Macaca mulatta: one gene and its partners. The protein of the gene in region 1 interacts with the protein of each later gene in a pairwise test. Links are inferred from orthologs where the notes say so. Each region holds a gene or a part of one and is shown in the gene's direction. Other genes may lie near its edges.

What was found.
Region 2: the proteins of CDK6 (region 1) and CCND3 interact in binary tests that used the Homo sapiens proteins (3 or more experiments, as listed by UniProt). The link is inferred for Macaca mulatta from reciprocal best matches to the Homo sapiens genes CDK6 and CCND3.
Region 3: the proteins of CDK6 (region 1) and CDKN2B interact in binary tests that used the Homo sapiens proteins (3 or more experiments, as listed by UniProt). The link is inferred for Macaca mulatta from reciprocal best matches to the Homo sapiens genes CDK6 and CDKN2B.

Annotation. Positions count from the first base shown.
Region 1 is NC_133408.1:126,535,436-126,539,181, forward strand, and holds the start of CDK6 (cyclin-dependent kinase 6), read left to right. Parts: upstream 1-1,080; 5' UTR 1,081-1,206; intron 1,207-1,859; exon of another isoform or gene 1,860-2,654; intron 2,655-3,717; exon of another isoform or gene 3,718-3,746. UniProt on the Homo sapiens protein: Serine/threonine-protein kinase involved in the control of the cell cycle and differentiation; promotes G1/S transition. Phosphorylates pRB/RB1 and NPM1.
Region 2 is NC_133409.1:140,231,562-140,235,307, forward strand, and holds the start of CCND3 (G1/S-specific cyclin-D3), read left to right. Parts: upstream 1-911; 5' UTR 912-1,057; coding exon 1,058-1,255; intron 1,256-1,545; coding exon of another isoform or gene 1,546-1,755; intron 1,756-2,124; coding exon 2,125-2,340; intron 2,341-3,746. UniProt on the Homo sapiens protein: Regulatory component of the cyclin D3-CDK4 (DC) complex that phosphorylates and inhibits members of the retinoblastoma (RB) protein family including RB1 and regulates the cell-cycle during G(1)/S transition.
Region 3 is NC_133420.1:77,206,792-77,210,537, forward strand, and holds the start of CDKN2B (cyclin-dependent kinase 4 inhibitor B), read left to right. Parts: upstream 1-868; 5' UTR 869-1,149; coding exon 1,150-1,305; intron 1,306-3,746. UniProt on the Homo sapiens protein: Interacts strongly with CDK4 and CDK6. Potent inhibitor. Potential effector of TGF-beta induced cell cycle arrest.

The DNA of each region.
Region 1 (3,746 bases):
CAGCAGGTAAAGTATACATTCTTACAAGGTTTCAAATTTCAGATTTCCAATAATGCATTTAAACTGAGCACTCCTCTTTCTGTGTATGTATCTATTATCTGCAGTTCTATTATTTACACTAAATTTTAGTCTTTTTAGCTCCTCTGAAATACGTTAGTGAACCCTCAGCAGTTACTAACCACTTAATAATTGTGAACCCGCCAGCCCCTTCAAGTAGATCGTTAACCATAAGAGTGCCTGACAATTTCCAAACCATACCCTCTGTCTAAAAGGAAAAGATAGGGCTTTGTGAGGCAGAAAGGAAGCGAAGGAAAACAAAACAAATGTAGCTCATGCTGAAAGTGAAAAGTGCTTGAACAGATTAGTATTTTCTTTTCTGCAAGGCATCCTGCCAAACTTTTTCTTTATTTTTTTAAGAGAAGAGTTATTTTTTGGTCTGATTTTTCAGTTTCTTGGAAAGTATTGGTATTTACCACCCCCATCGGCCCTTCATAATTATTGTTAGTTGTTTTGTGTTTTTCCCATCCGTCCACGTCACACAGTGAGGATACCCCCTGCTTCACCCTGTCAAAACCCCAACTCTGGGCGACCCTGGGTTTGGAAACTCCGCCGACTCCCGACGACACGTCCCACTCTCTCCCACTAACGCCGCTTATTTTAGTCGCAGGATCCCCCTACTACAGTTTCAGTGAAAGCCGGAAATTTTCATTTAACTCCCCTGCCCCCCCAACCCCCCCGCCCCGCGCCTTTCTAGCCCCCGACTCGTAGAAGGGAGCTAGGGAGCCCGGAGCTCGGAGCACTGCCGGGGCTTGGCCGCCTCCTTTCTCTCCGGAAGGCTTTAATTTGCACACTTTCTTGCCACTGCGCCACGAGCCCCCAGCCTCGCCGCTGGGTGGGTCTCCGGCAGAGTTGGCTTCTCGGGTCCCTGCCCCCACCCCGCGCGGTCGCCCCCGCTGCCTCCCTGGCTGGGGCCCCCAGCGCCGGCCAGAGCCCCGCGGCCCCCGTCCGCCCCCAGCTAGCGGCGCGGGCGGCGCCCTCCGCCTTCCCTCCGCCCTCCGCCGCTGTGCCCACCCCCTCGCCGGAGAGAGTGCTGGTAACTCCTTCCCCAGAGTCTGATTACCTGCTCCGCGAGGCCGCGGACACGTGCGGAGAGCCGACTGACACTCGCAGCCCCCTCAGGAGGCCCGACGCGACTGGGCCCCTCAGGTGAGGAGCTGTGCGCTCGGGTGGGTGGGCTGCGGGGTGGGGGGTCCCTGGGGAGATATGGGGGATTGGCCGGGGTCCGAGGCAGAACTGTGGGTGGGGTAAGTGGAGGCTGGCGGGGGGTGGGGGGGACCTGTGTTTCCCTGGAATCGGCTTTGGTTAACCCCTTACGAACTGAGACGGCGTTGGTTATGGGGGCCAGTTTTGGGGAGCTAGAGGATTCTAATCTGACGAGAGGGGGAGATCCTACGCTAGGGACACCCGCGACACCGAGATCCTGCTTCCACGTACCCGTGCGCACACACACTCACACAGAACACTCCTCATCCAGTTTCTCCAAACGGAACTGGAACTCTACTCGGACATTCACATAATAATTCACATTTAGGGTTCAAAATGCACTGCCTCTAGGGACTCCATGCTGGAGAATGTGCTTGCATTTCCCCCACGAAAACTCCCTCGCCAGCTCGCTGAGGTGTGGGTGTGGGCTCCACCTTCCCCTCCACGAGATAAATGTTAACGCAGGCTTCCTGCGGGCGTGTTATGCACAGAAGAGTGCACGCAGCCGGCCGGTGCCCAGGCTTGGAGCCCCACGAAGACGCACGTTTGCTTTAGTTTCCAAGTTTACTTTTATCATTTAAAATATTGGAGTTAAACACACGCCCCGTGGTGAGCAGCCCTTGTCCCCGCAGGGCGCCCGTCCGTGTGCATATGGGCGCATCTGCGTGTGCGCACACGCGGGAGTCGCGGTCCCCGGTGTGGCCTCTTGTTGCCGTGCTGGTGGCGACCCTTGTGGTGCTTGGCAGGCTTCGGGAGAGGCGCATGAAGGATTTCATTGAGTGTGAAGACAGAGAGCAGAGACAGAAAGCAGAAGGAGGCGGCTGCAGCCTTTGTAGTCGCGGAGGAATGCGGAAATGTTGAAGCACTATGTCAAACTTTTTTTGAAATGGGGTCAAGTCACATTCAGCCAGCGTGGGAAAGCAACAACAACAACAAAAAAAAAGTGGAGGAGAGGGGGGGAAAAGGCATTGCTGCTCCCGTTTCTCTCCGCCGAAGCCGACCGTCTGGGGGGCGAGTGGGGGGAGAGTCAGGGTAGTGCGGGGCCCGGCGGGGGCAGCAGGCGAAGTTCCCTGCGGGGGTGGGACGTCCCCGACGCTTCCTTCGCTGCGGAGCCCGGGGCTAGACTCGAGCGGGAGGGGGATGGGGGGACGCAGGAGAGGCGGGTTGGGCGGCCGGCGGCGGCTCCCCGGCTACCTGTGTGGCCCTCGACCTGGCTCAGACGCCCGGGCAGTCCTTGGGGGCTCTTTCCTCGGCTTTTAAGGAAAGTTCTGAATGGAGTGAGTGCCAGAAGCACTGCTTTCGCCGCGGTCCGCTCCACGCGCTCATCGTGGGGGTCGCGCCGTTTGTTTAATTCCTGGCAAAAGGCGAGCGGGGCAGCGGTTGCGAGGCAGGTAATTCCGAGGTGCCCCGGGAATTCCGGACACGCGGCCAGCGTGGTGAAAGTCCTGCCGAGGCCGCGGCGGCCGTGGGGGAGGGAGGCTCCCTAGGTCCCAGATAGCTGCTGAATGGGGAGGGAAAGTTAGGGTACCCTTCTCCGGCGCTTTGTTATGCAGAGGGCTCCGGGGGCGTCCGGCTGCAGCCTGGACCCGGCCTTTAGCCGGAGAGGGAATGGGGCAGCCACCTCCGCTACCTACAGCGGGGTGGTCCTGGGAGTGGGAAAAGGTTCGCGAGTCCGGGCCCCGAGGGCAGAGACCTTGTTTCTCACCCCTGGAGGCGCAGGGTTTAACCCCCCACCCCCCACCCTTTGAAAGAGAGGTTGAGTTTTGCTCAGGTCGAAATCAATTTAAAACTTCAGGACGAGGCGCGATTAAGCTATCCTCTTCCTGAAATTATTCTTTAAGAAGACGACAAGCGAAATTGTGACGAACACCCCTTTCTCCCACCCTTGGGATCCCGTGGGGGACAGTGTCTCCCCTCCCCCAGGACCTCTCGTTCGCCCACCCCCGATTAGCCCCAACCCTCCCCGACCAGATGGCTGGTCTTCCCAAGGTTTCCACCAGGGAGGTCCTCCCAGTCGGAGAGAGAATTCCGTTTCCAACCGAGACTCCTTTACCCCAAAGAGACCATTTGTGTATGCGAGTCGTTTTTAAATGTCTCCTCGTAGAAAAACTGAAAGTAGAAAGAAAGGAAGCAATTTCTGAGCAGATGTCTGACCACCCCTTCTCGCACACTCACAGCATCGGGTTACAGGGTCCTGGGAGCCCCCACCCACATTCTGCGGCCCCACACGGATGGACCCACAGTCCTTCCGCTCCAGCTTGTGCGCGACCCTTGAACGCCCTCCGGCACCCCTGGACCCCATCTCCCTGCACGTCCGGGCCTCAGGAGGCGGGGAGGGTAGCGACGCAACACAATGATATAGGGATAAATATTAAGCCGTGACATTGACGTGCCCGGCGCCTCCCCTCCCCCGCGCTCCCGGCACACTCTGGGCTGCTCGGCACGCCCCCTCCCGTTCCACTGCGTCCCGCGCCGCTCGCTCA
Region 2 (3,746 bases), on another chromosome or scaffold:
TCACTGCAAGCTCCGCCTCCCGGGTTCACGCCATTCTCCTGCCTCAGCCTCCCGAGTAGCTGGGACTACAGGCGCCCACAACCGCGCCCGGCTAATTTTTTGTATTTTTAGTAGAGACGGGGTTTCACCGTGGTCTCGATCTCCTGACCTTGTGATCCGCCCGCCTCGGCCTCCCAAAGTGCTGGGATTACAGGCGTGAGCCACCGCGCCCGGCCCAGCTCTCATACTTTAAAGTGCACAGAAATCTAGTTAAAATGCAGATTCTGATTCAGGTTAGGGGTGGGCCTGAGAGTCTGCATTTCTAACCAGCTCCCAGGCGATGACCATGCACGGGACAGGTCTGGGATCACTGTTTAACTAGCAGTGGTGTAGAGCACAGAATCTGGAGCAAGAAGGCCAGATTCCCAATCCTAGCTCTGCCACGGGCCAACCGAATGACAGTTGCCTCGGTTTCCGAGTTTTCGTGAAGATGTAGTGAGTCATTACATTGTGAGGCTTTGGAGCAGTGTTCACTAAGAACTGACTCTGACATTATTTATCGCATTCCTTAGAGCAAGCAGCCGGTGAAGTAGGGTTTGACGAATGAATAAGTGAATGAATGACCTTTGGAGAAAAATTCTTTCCTGGGTGACTAGAGTCCGAGAAGCAAAATGGGAGGGCTCGTGGGTGGGTAGGAGGCCCACCTCCTAGAAAGTTCTCTGCACCCGGTGGTCCAGAGGGCCCGGAGTGCCCGGAAGCCGGCCGGCTTGCGCTCAGCGGCCCAATGGGGCCGCGGGAGGGAGGGGAGAGCGCCCAGCCAGCCCTTTCCGTCCGGGGCGCCGCAGCCCCGCCCCTCGGAGCGTTGCGACGTCCGAGCATTCCACGGTTGCTACATCGTCGCGAGGGGCGGGGCGCCTGTCAGGGAAGCGGCGCGCGCGGGCGGCGGGCGGGCTGGGGATCCGCCGCGCAGTGCCAGCGCCAGCGCCAGCGCCAGACCCGCTCTCCGCGCTCTCCGGCCCGTCGCCTGCCTTGAAACTCGCGAGCCCGCACTCCCGCCCTGCCTGTGCGCTGCCCGAGTATGGAGCTGCTGTGTTGCGAAGGCACCCGGCACGCGCCCCGGGCCGGGCCGGACCCGCGGCTACTCGGGGACCAGCGTGTCCTGCAGAGCCTGCTCCGCCTGGAGGAGCGCTACGTGCCCCGCGCCTCCTACTTCCAGTGCGTGCAGCGGGAGATAAAGCCGCACATGCGGAAGATGCTGGCTTACTGGATGCTGGAGGTACCGCCCGGACGCGTCCCCCTCCCCCACCGCTCCCGGGTCTGGACACACCGGGGCCGCCCTGTCGGGACATCGCGGTCCCCACAGCAATCTGCAGGATGCTCCGAGGCTAAGACCCCCGGGGCCTGGCCTTTCACTAGGGCACCCTAGCCAGCTGCCTCCCTTGCTTTCCCGAGCCCTAATCGGCTCCTCCCAACTGTGAGTGCCAGTCACTTGGCACCGTAACTGTGCCTCTCTTCGGGCCGAGAAAACGGGACCAGGGACATCGTCTCCCCTTCGGCTTCTCACAGCGTCTCCCACTTCCCTCCCCCTCCCGGCCTTCTCCGGAGAGCGCGCCTGGAAAACCCTGGGCTCGGCCGCCCCCGCCCGGGAGCCGGTTCCTGTGTCTGTCGCGGGGTTCTGGCGGGGAAGGCGATGGGGGTGGCGCGCGCCCTGTTCCGGCCGACAGGGAAATGAAAAGTGCGGGAGGCAGTGGCAGGAGCCTCCTCCCTTCCCTTCGGGTGTGTGCAGTGGTGGCGGTGATGGGGGTGAGGTCCCAGCTCTCTGGCTACCATGGGTGACCCTTGCGTCCCACTTCCCGTCGCTGTGGGGGAGGGGAGTCTCCGTTTGGAATCCTTCTTGAGGAAGGGCTCCTTGACTTTACCACCCCCACCCCACCAAGGGGAGAGGGGAGGAGGCCGCGCAGAGGAAGTGGGGGGCGTCACCTTGGGGAGGGCCCATCCTCCTCCTTTATTGGTCCTTGTCTCTGTAAGTAGCTTACCCTCTCTCCCGTTTTTGCTCCCTATCCCACCTCACTTCAGCGCCCCCACCCCCGCGCTGCTGTGTTCCCCACGCTCCGGCCCCAGCAGTGACTGTGCGCCCTCCCCCAGGTATGTGAGGAGCAGCGCTGTGAGGAGGAAGTCTTCCCCCTGGCCATGAACTACCTGGATCGCTACCTGTCCTGTGTCCCCACCCGAAAGGCGCAGTTGCAGCTCCTGGGTGCGGTCTGCATGCTGCTGGCCTCCAAGCTGCGCGAGACCACGCCCCTGACCATCGAAAAACTGTGCATCTACACCGACCACGCTGTCTCTCCCCGCCAGTTGCGGGTGCGTGTGTAACTCCCCCCACCCCCGACACATACTGTCTCCCCACTTTCCAGGAAAAGGAACGCTTGAGATATCAGAGGCTTTCTGCTCCCTGGAGAGGGCGCAAGGCGATCAGGACCTTTGGGAAGGGAATTAGGGTGGAACAAACGATGGGGCAGTGTGGTGTGATGGTTAGTATCACTCCCGCCTAGGCTCGAGCTGCAGTCAGGCATTAAACGCCCTCCTGACCTCCAGGGGATGCCACTCCTTCCTGGTCTTTCCCTCAGATAGCAACAAGTCAAACTGCATGTCTACACTCACTAGTACTTTGCCTCTGGGTTTACGCAGCCACCATGAGTTATTTATTGGCAGCAGAAGGGCATGCCTGCACACCCCCACTGGAGTAGGGGAGTGGAATGTGCTTCATGTGGGGGAGGGGGTTTGCCTTGGTTGAGTCTTTATCCTCATGTGGACTTTGTGATAGAAAAACCTCCCAGAGCCAATTAAAGCCAGGCTCTGATTGCTTTAAGGAAGGGCTGATGTATTTCATCCCACCTTCTTTGCTTCCTCTTATATCCCGGAAGAGACAGCTTCTTCCTAATCCTTTCCTGTCCTCATTCTGAGGAACTGGAGCAGCTGCTTTGGGCCTGGTGGAAACAGCTCCCTCTACCCCCCTTAGCCAAAGGCCCAAGCTGAGGGACAGGCAGGGAGGTGAGCTGCAGCTGCTTCCGATGTGATAATGGTGCCCCCTCCCCCGGCCCGCCCTCTCTGACCAAGGTCTTTCATAACCCTGTGGGGAGCTGCTGTCACTCCTGTGGTTTGGGAAGTGGCTCCCTGGGCCTCTTGCTGGAAACTTGGGCTGGGCTCAGACAGGGCAGGAAAGTCACCGGTTCTGTCCCGCCTCAGAAGGAGCCTCAGTCCCGGGCAGCTGCTGGATCTGGAAGAGGTTATTTAGGACATGCAGATTGTCTCCTAGGGGGCTGGGGGGAGAGGGTGGGTGAGCTGGCACTTTCTTCCACCTTGCTCTGTGGCGGGCCAAGTCTTCTGCTGACCCTGAGAGGAGTCTCTGGGCCCCATCTCCCAGGGAGGAGGGCAGCAAGCAGGCTGCTGTGATTGGCTGGCAGGGAAGCCAGGGTACTGGGGCCCCCGACTGCTGTGAGTCGAGGAACAGGATTCCTCTTCCTGCCAAGTAGCTCAGAGATGGGAGTAGGAGGCCAGAGTTGGGAATCCAGGAGACTCCACAGCTCTTTGTGATGAATCTGGTAGTTTTTGGCAAGTCTGAAGGTGGAGCTAGTTTCCAGGGCCAGAGAGCAAGATGTTTTTGGAGGGGTTGGGGCTGGAAGGTAGAAGGGGAACTTCCTTTTTGTGAAAAGATGGAGGTGGTGTGTGTGCCTACATATGAGGGTTTTTCAGTGCAGGCAAAAAGT
Region 3 (3,746 bases), on another chromosome or scaffold:
AGTGGGTTTAAATAGGTAAGAGTGCAAAGATTTACTGTGCAAATATGATGAAACTGGGATCTCAGATTCTTAAAGCACAATTTTTTTTTGTCTTGTGTGCTAGGTTGCCACTCTCAATCTCGAACTAGTTTTCTCTCTCTCTCTCTCTCTCTCTCTCTCTCTTTTAAGGGTTGTATCCATAATGCAAACATGGAAAGAATTAAAAAGCACATGCAAAACATGATTCTCGGGATTTTTCTCTATTTTTATGGTTGACAAATTCAAATAGAAAGACACATCCAAGAGAAAACCGCTAAGGTTGACACAAGATATGAAACTTGTGAAGTTCAAGTACTGCCTAGGGATGAATTTAACTTGTATGACAGGTGCAGAGCTGTCGCTCTCAGACATCTTAAGAAAGACAGAGTTATTTTCAATGCCTTTCTCTCGGCCACAAGGGAGCCACTAACGTCTCCACAGTGAAACCAACTGGCATAAGGCTGAAGGAACAGAAATCCTCTGCTCCGCCTACTGGGGATTAGTTGCTGAGGGTAGTGGGTCAACATTCCCAAAATATTAGCCTTGGCTTTACCGGACATCCAGCGAGCAGTCCAGCCGGCATTCCTGGCGGCTCCCTGGCCCAGTCTCTGGCGCATGCGTCTCAGCACCTTTGGGCAGGCTTCCCCTCCCTCGTGACGCGTCGGCCGGGGCCTGGCCTCCCGGCGAGCACAGCGGACAGGGGGCGGAGCCTAAGGGGGTGGGGAGAGGCCGGCCCCTTGGCCCAGCTGAAAACGGAATTCTTTGCCGGCTGGCTCCCCACTCTGCCAGAGCGAGGCGGGGTAGTGAGGACTCCGCGACGCGTCCGCACCCTGCGGCCAGAGCCGCTTTGAGCTCAGCTGCGGCCGCGCTAGGCGCTTTTCCCCAGAAGCAATCCAGGAGCGCCCGCTAGTTCTTGAGCGCCAGGAAAAGCCCGGAGCTAACTACCGGCGGCTCGACCATTGCACGGGGCCCCAAGCCGCAGAAGGACGGCGGGAGGGTAATGAAGCTGAGCCCAGCTCTTCTAGGAAGGAGAGAGTGCGCCGGAGCAGCGTGGGAAAGAAGGGAGGAGTGTCGTTAAGTTTACGGCCAACGGTGGATTATCCGGGCCTCTGCGCGTCTGGGGACTGCGGAATGCGCGAGGAGAACAAGGGCATGCCCAGTGGAGGCGGCAGCGATGAGGGCCTGACCAGCGCCGCGGCGCGGGGACTAGTGGAGAAGGTGCGACAGCTCCTGGAAGCCGGCGCGGATCCCAACGGAGTCAACCGCTTCGGGAGGCGCGCGATCCAGGTAGCTGGGGCCCCAGGGCCTCGCCGGCAGGGGGCGCGCGAACGCGGGGCGCGGCCTCGGCGGGTCGGGGCTGGAATCAAGATCGCCGATGTAGATTTGTATAGCAGTCTCCCTTGGCCGGAGGTGTGCAGCCCAGGCGTAAAACAAGCTTTTATCCAGCAAAAATTCTAAAGAGAGACATTGAAAAATCCACTGTTTAAGCTTTTCTAGTGGTTTTTGTTCTGCCATCTCATCATCAGAGATGCAAGGAATAGATTGAATTGGGGAGAAAAGGCGAAAAGGAAAGGTTATTTAGGGAGGACGATTATCTTGTCTGTTTGCTTTCAACGATAAAGATAAGTAAACTATAAGTTACACATTCTGGATTGGATTTAAGGAATTCTACAAAATCATAGTACATGGAAAAAAATCAGTGTAAACTTTTAAGCTACTATATGAAATCTGTTGTATTGTTTTCTCATGGAGGCTAATTGAATTCAAAGGAATGAGACCGGAATCCTCAGCCACAGCACTTAGTTCCTTTTATGTTAGCAGTGTCTTATGAGTGATGCATAAGAGAAAAAATATATAGTTCTATAGGTTTCTCATTCTTTAATTATCATACTCAGTGCCCAGATTACAAAAATATTCCTGCAGCAACTGTTAGGTCCTTTTTGAATGGCAAAGGATCTTCATAAATAATGCATCCTTATCTTCATCGTTAAAATACACTTATTCAATGTTTACGAATCCTGCTTTAATTAGTACTGATATTTTTAATTTATTTTACAATCTAGGACAATGCTTTTGTACTTTACTGTTGGCTATTGGCCATATTCAGTATTCACCTCACTATCACCCTCCAAAACTAAGCTAATATTAAGGAATCTTGTTAATAGTGTAGATTTTAAAGAAGTGTTCATTTCTTTTGAATTCTTAGAATAGTGGTATAACAAATAAGGGATTTTTAAAGGAGCAAAACTATTGTAAAGTGCTTCTTAAAAACTTAAAATTCTATTAATAATTATAAAACAAGTTATATATGTAATTCACCATTTTCTGAAATACTAAGAACAGCTATTTTCCCCTCTTTTTTCTATGTAAACTATCCTTACATCACTAGTAGATATAACTTATGGTTTTCAAGAGATGAAATGAACATTTCTAATATTAATGAAACAAGCTGACAAAACATGAGAAGTATACTGCCTTTCAATTAAATGGTATATTTTAAAGTACATAAACCCATAACAAATAACTCAATTTTAGACATTTGTTACCAAAAATTGTCTTATAATTAACTTAAAATATGACAGCAAATGTTTTCATAATGTTCATGTTCACAAACGGCTGCTACAGGATTACTCCTGCAAAACATCATTTTTTTCTAAGTTATGCATCATCCTGATTGCTAACATCCAAGCTCTATTTATTTATTTATTTATTTATTTATTTATTTGAGACGAGGCCTCACTTTGTCAGCCAGGCTGGAGTGCACTGGTGTGATCTCAGCTCACTGCAACCTCTGCTTTCAGGGTGCAAGTGATTCTCCTGCCTCAGCCTCCTGAGTTGCTGGGACTTCAGGCACGCCCCACCATGCCCATCTTATTTATTTATTTATTTATTGTAGTACAGACGGGATTTCACCATATTGGCCAGGCTGGTCTCGAACTCCTGACCTCAGGTGATCTGCCCACTTTGGCCTCCCAAAGTGCTGGAATTACAAGCATAAGCCACTGTGCCTGGCCCAAGCTCTTTTTATACAGCAAAATATTTACTGTTTAACGTTTTTAAATCTTAGCTATTATAAAATCCTGTAGTATATATAGTTAGTTTTATGTTACATTAAAAATGTTATACTCTAAAATAAAAATGATGAACTGTTTATTAAGGAAAAATCATTTATTCTTGTAATTTTATAAGATTTTGCATGATTTAATTTACTTTTCCCTTCTAATCTCCAACTTTGGCTCAAATTATCACAGTACAATCCAGTTATGAGCACAGACACATGACAAACAAAAGCCTTCCACACAGGATTTGCTATGAGAACTAAATAAATTTTAAAAAGAAAGGAAGAAAAAAGAAACTTAATTGTTTATTTTCTCCCCTAAACCATTACTCCCAACTTCTAACAAACAGTAGTTGAGTACCTAATAAACATTTTTGGACCTGGATTATGGAGGAGGGGTCAGGAAGGCAAATAATTTAAAACTTTAAAAGCCAAATAAATTTAACTCTGCCCATAAATCACTTAACAAAATAGATTCCCATGTTCCGATGGAAATCAAGATTTGTTTTTCCACAATGACGATCATCACTTTACCATCAACTTTCTTGTCTCTACACGTTTAGAGAATAAAATGGCATTTAATTTGTACTGAGTGGAGTATAACCTGAAGGTGGGGTGGGAAAGCGGATTGCATCAGCAAATGAAGAAACACCAGACACCAGAGACCTGA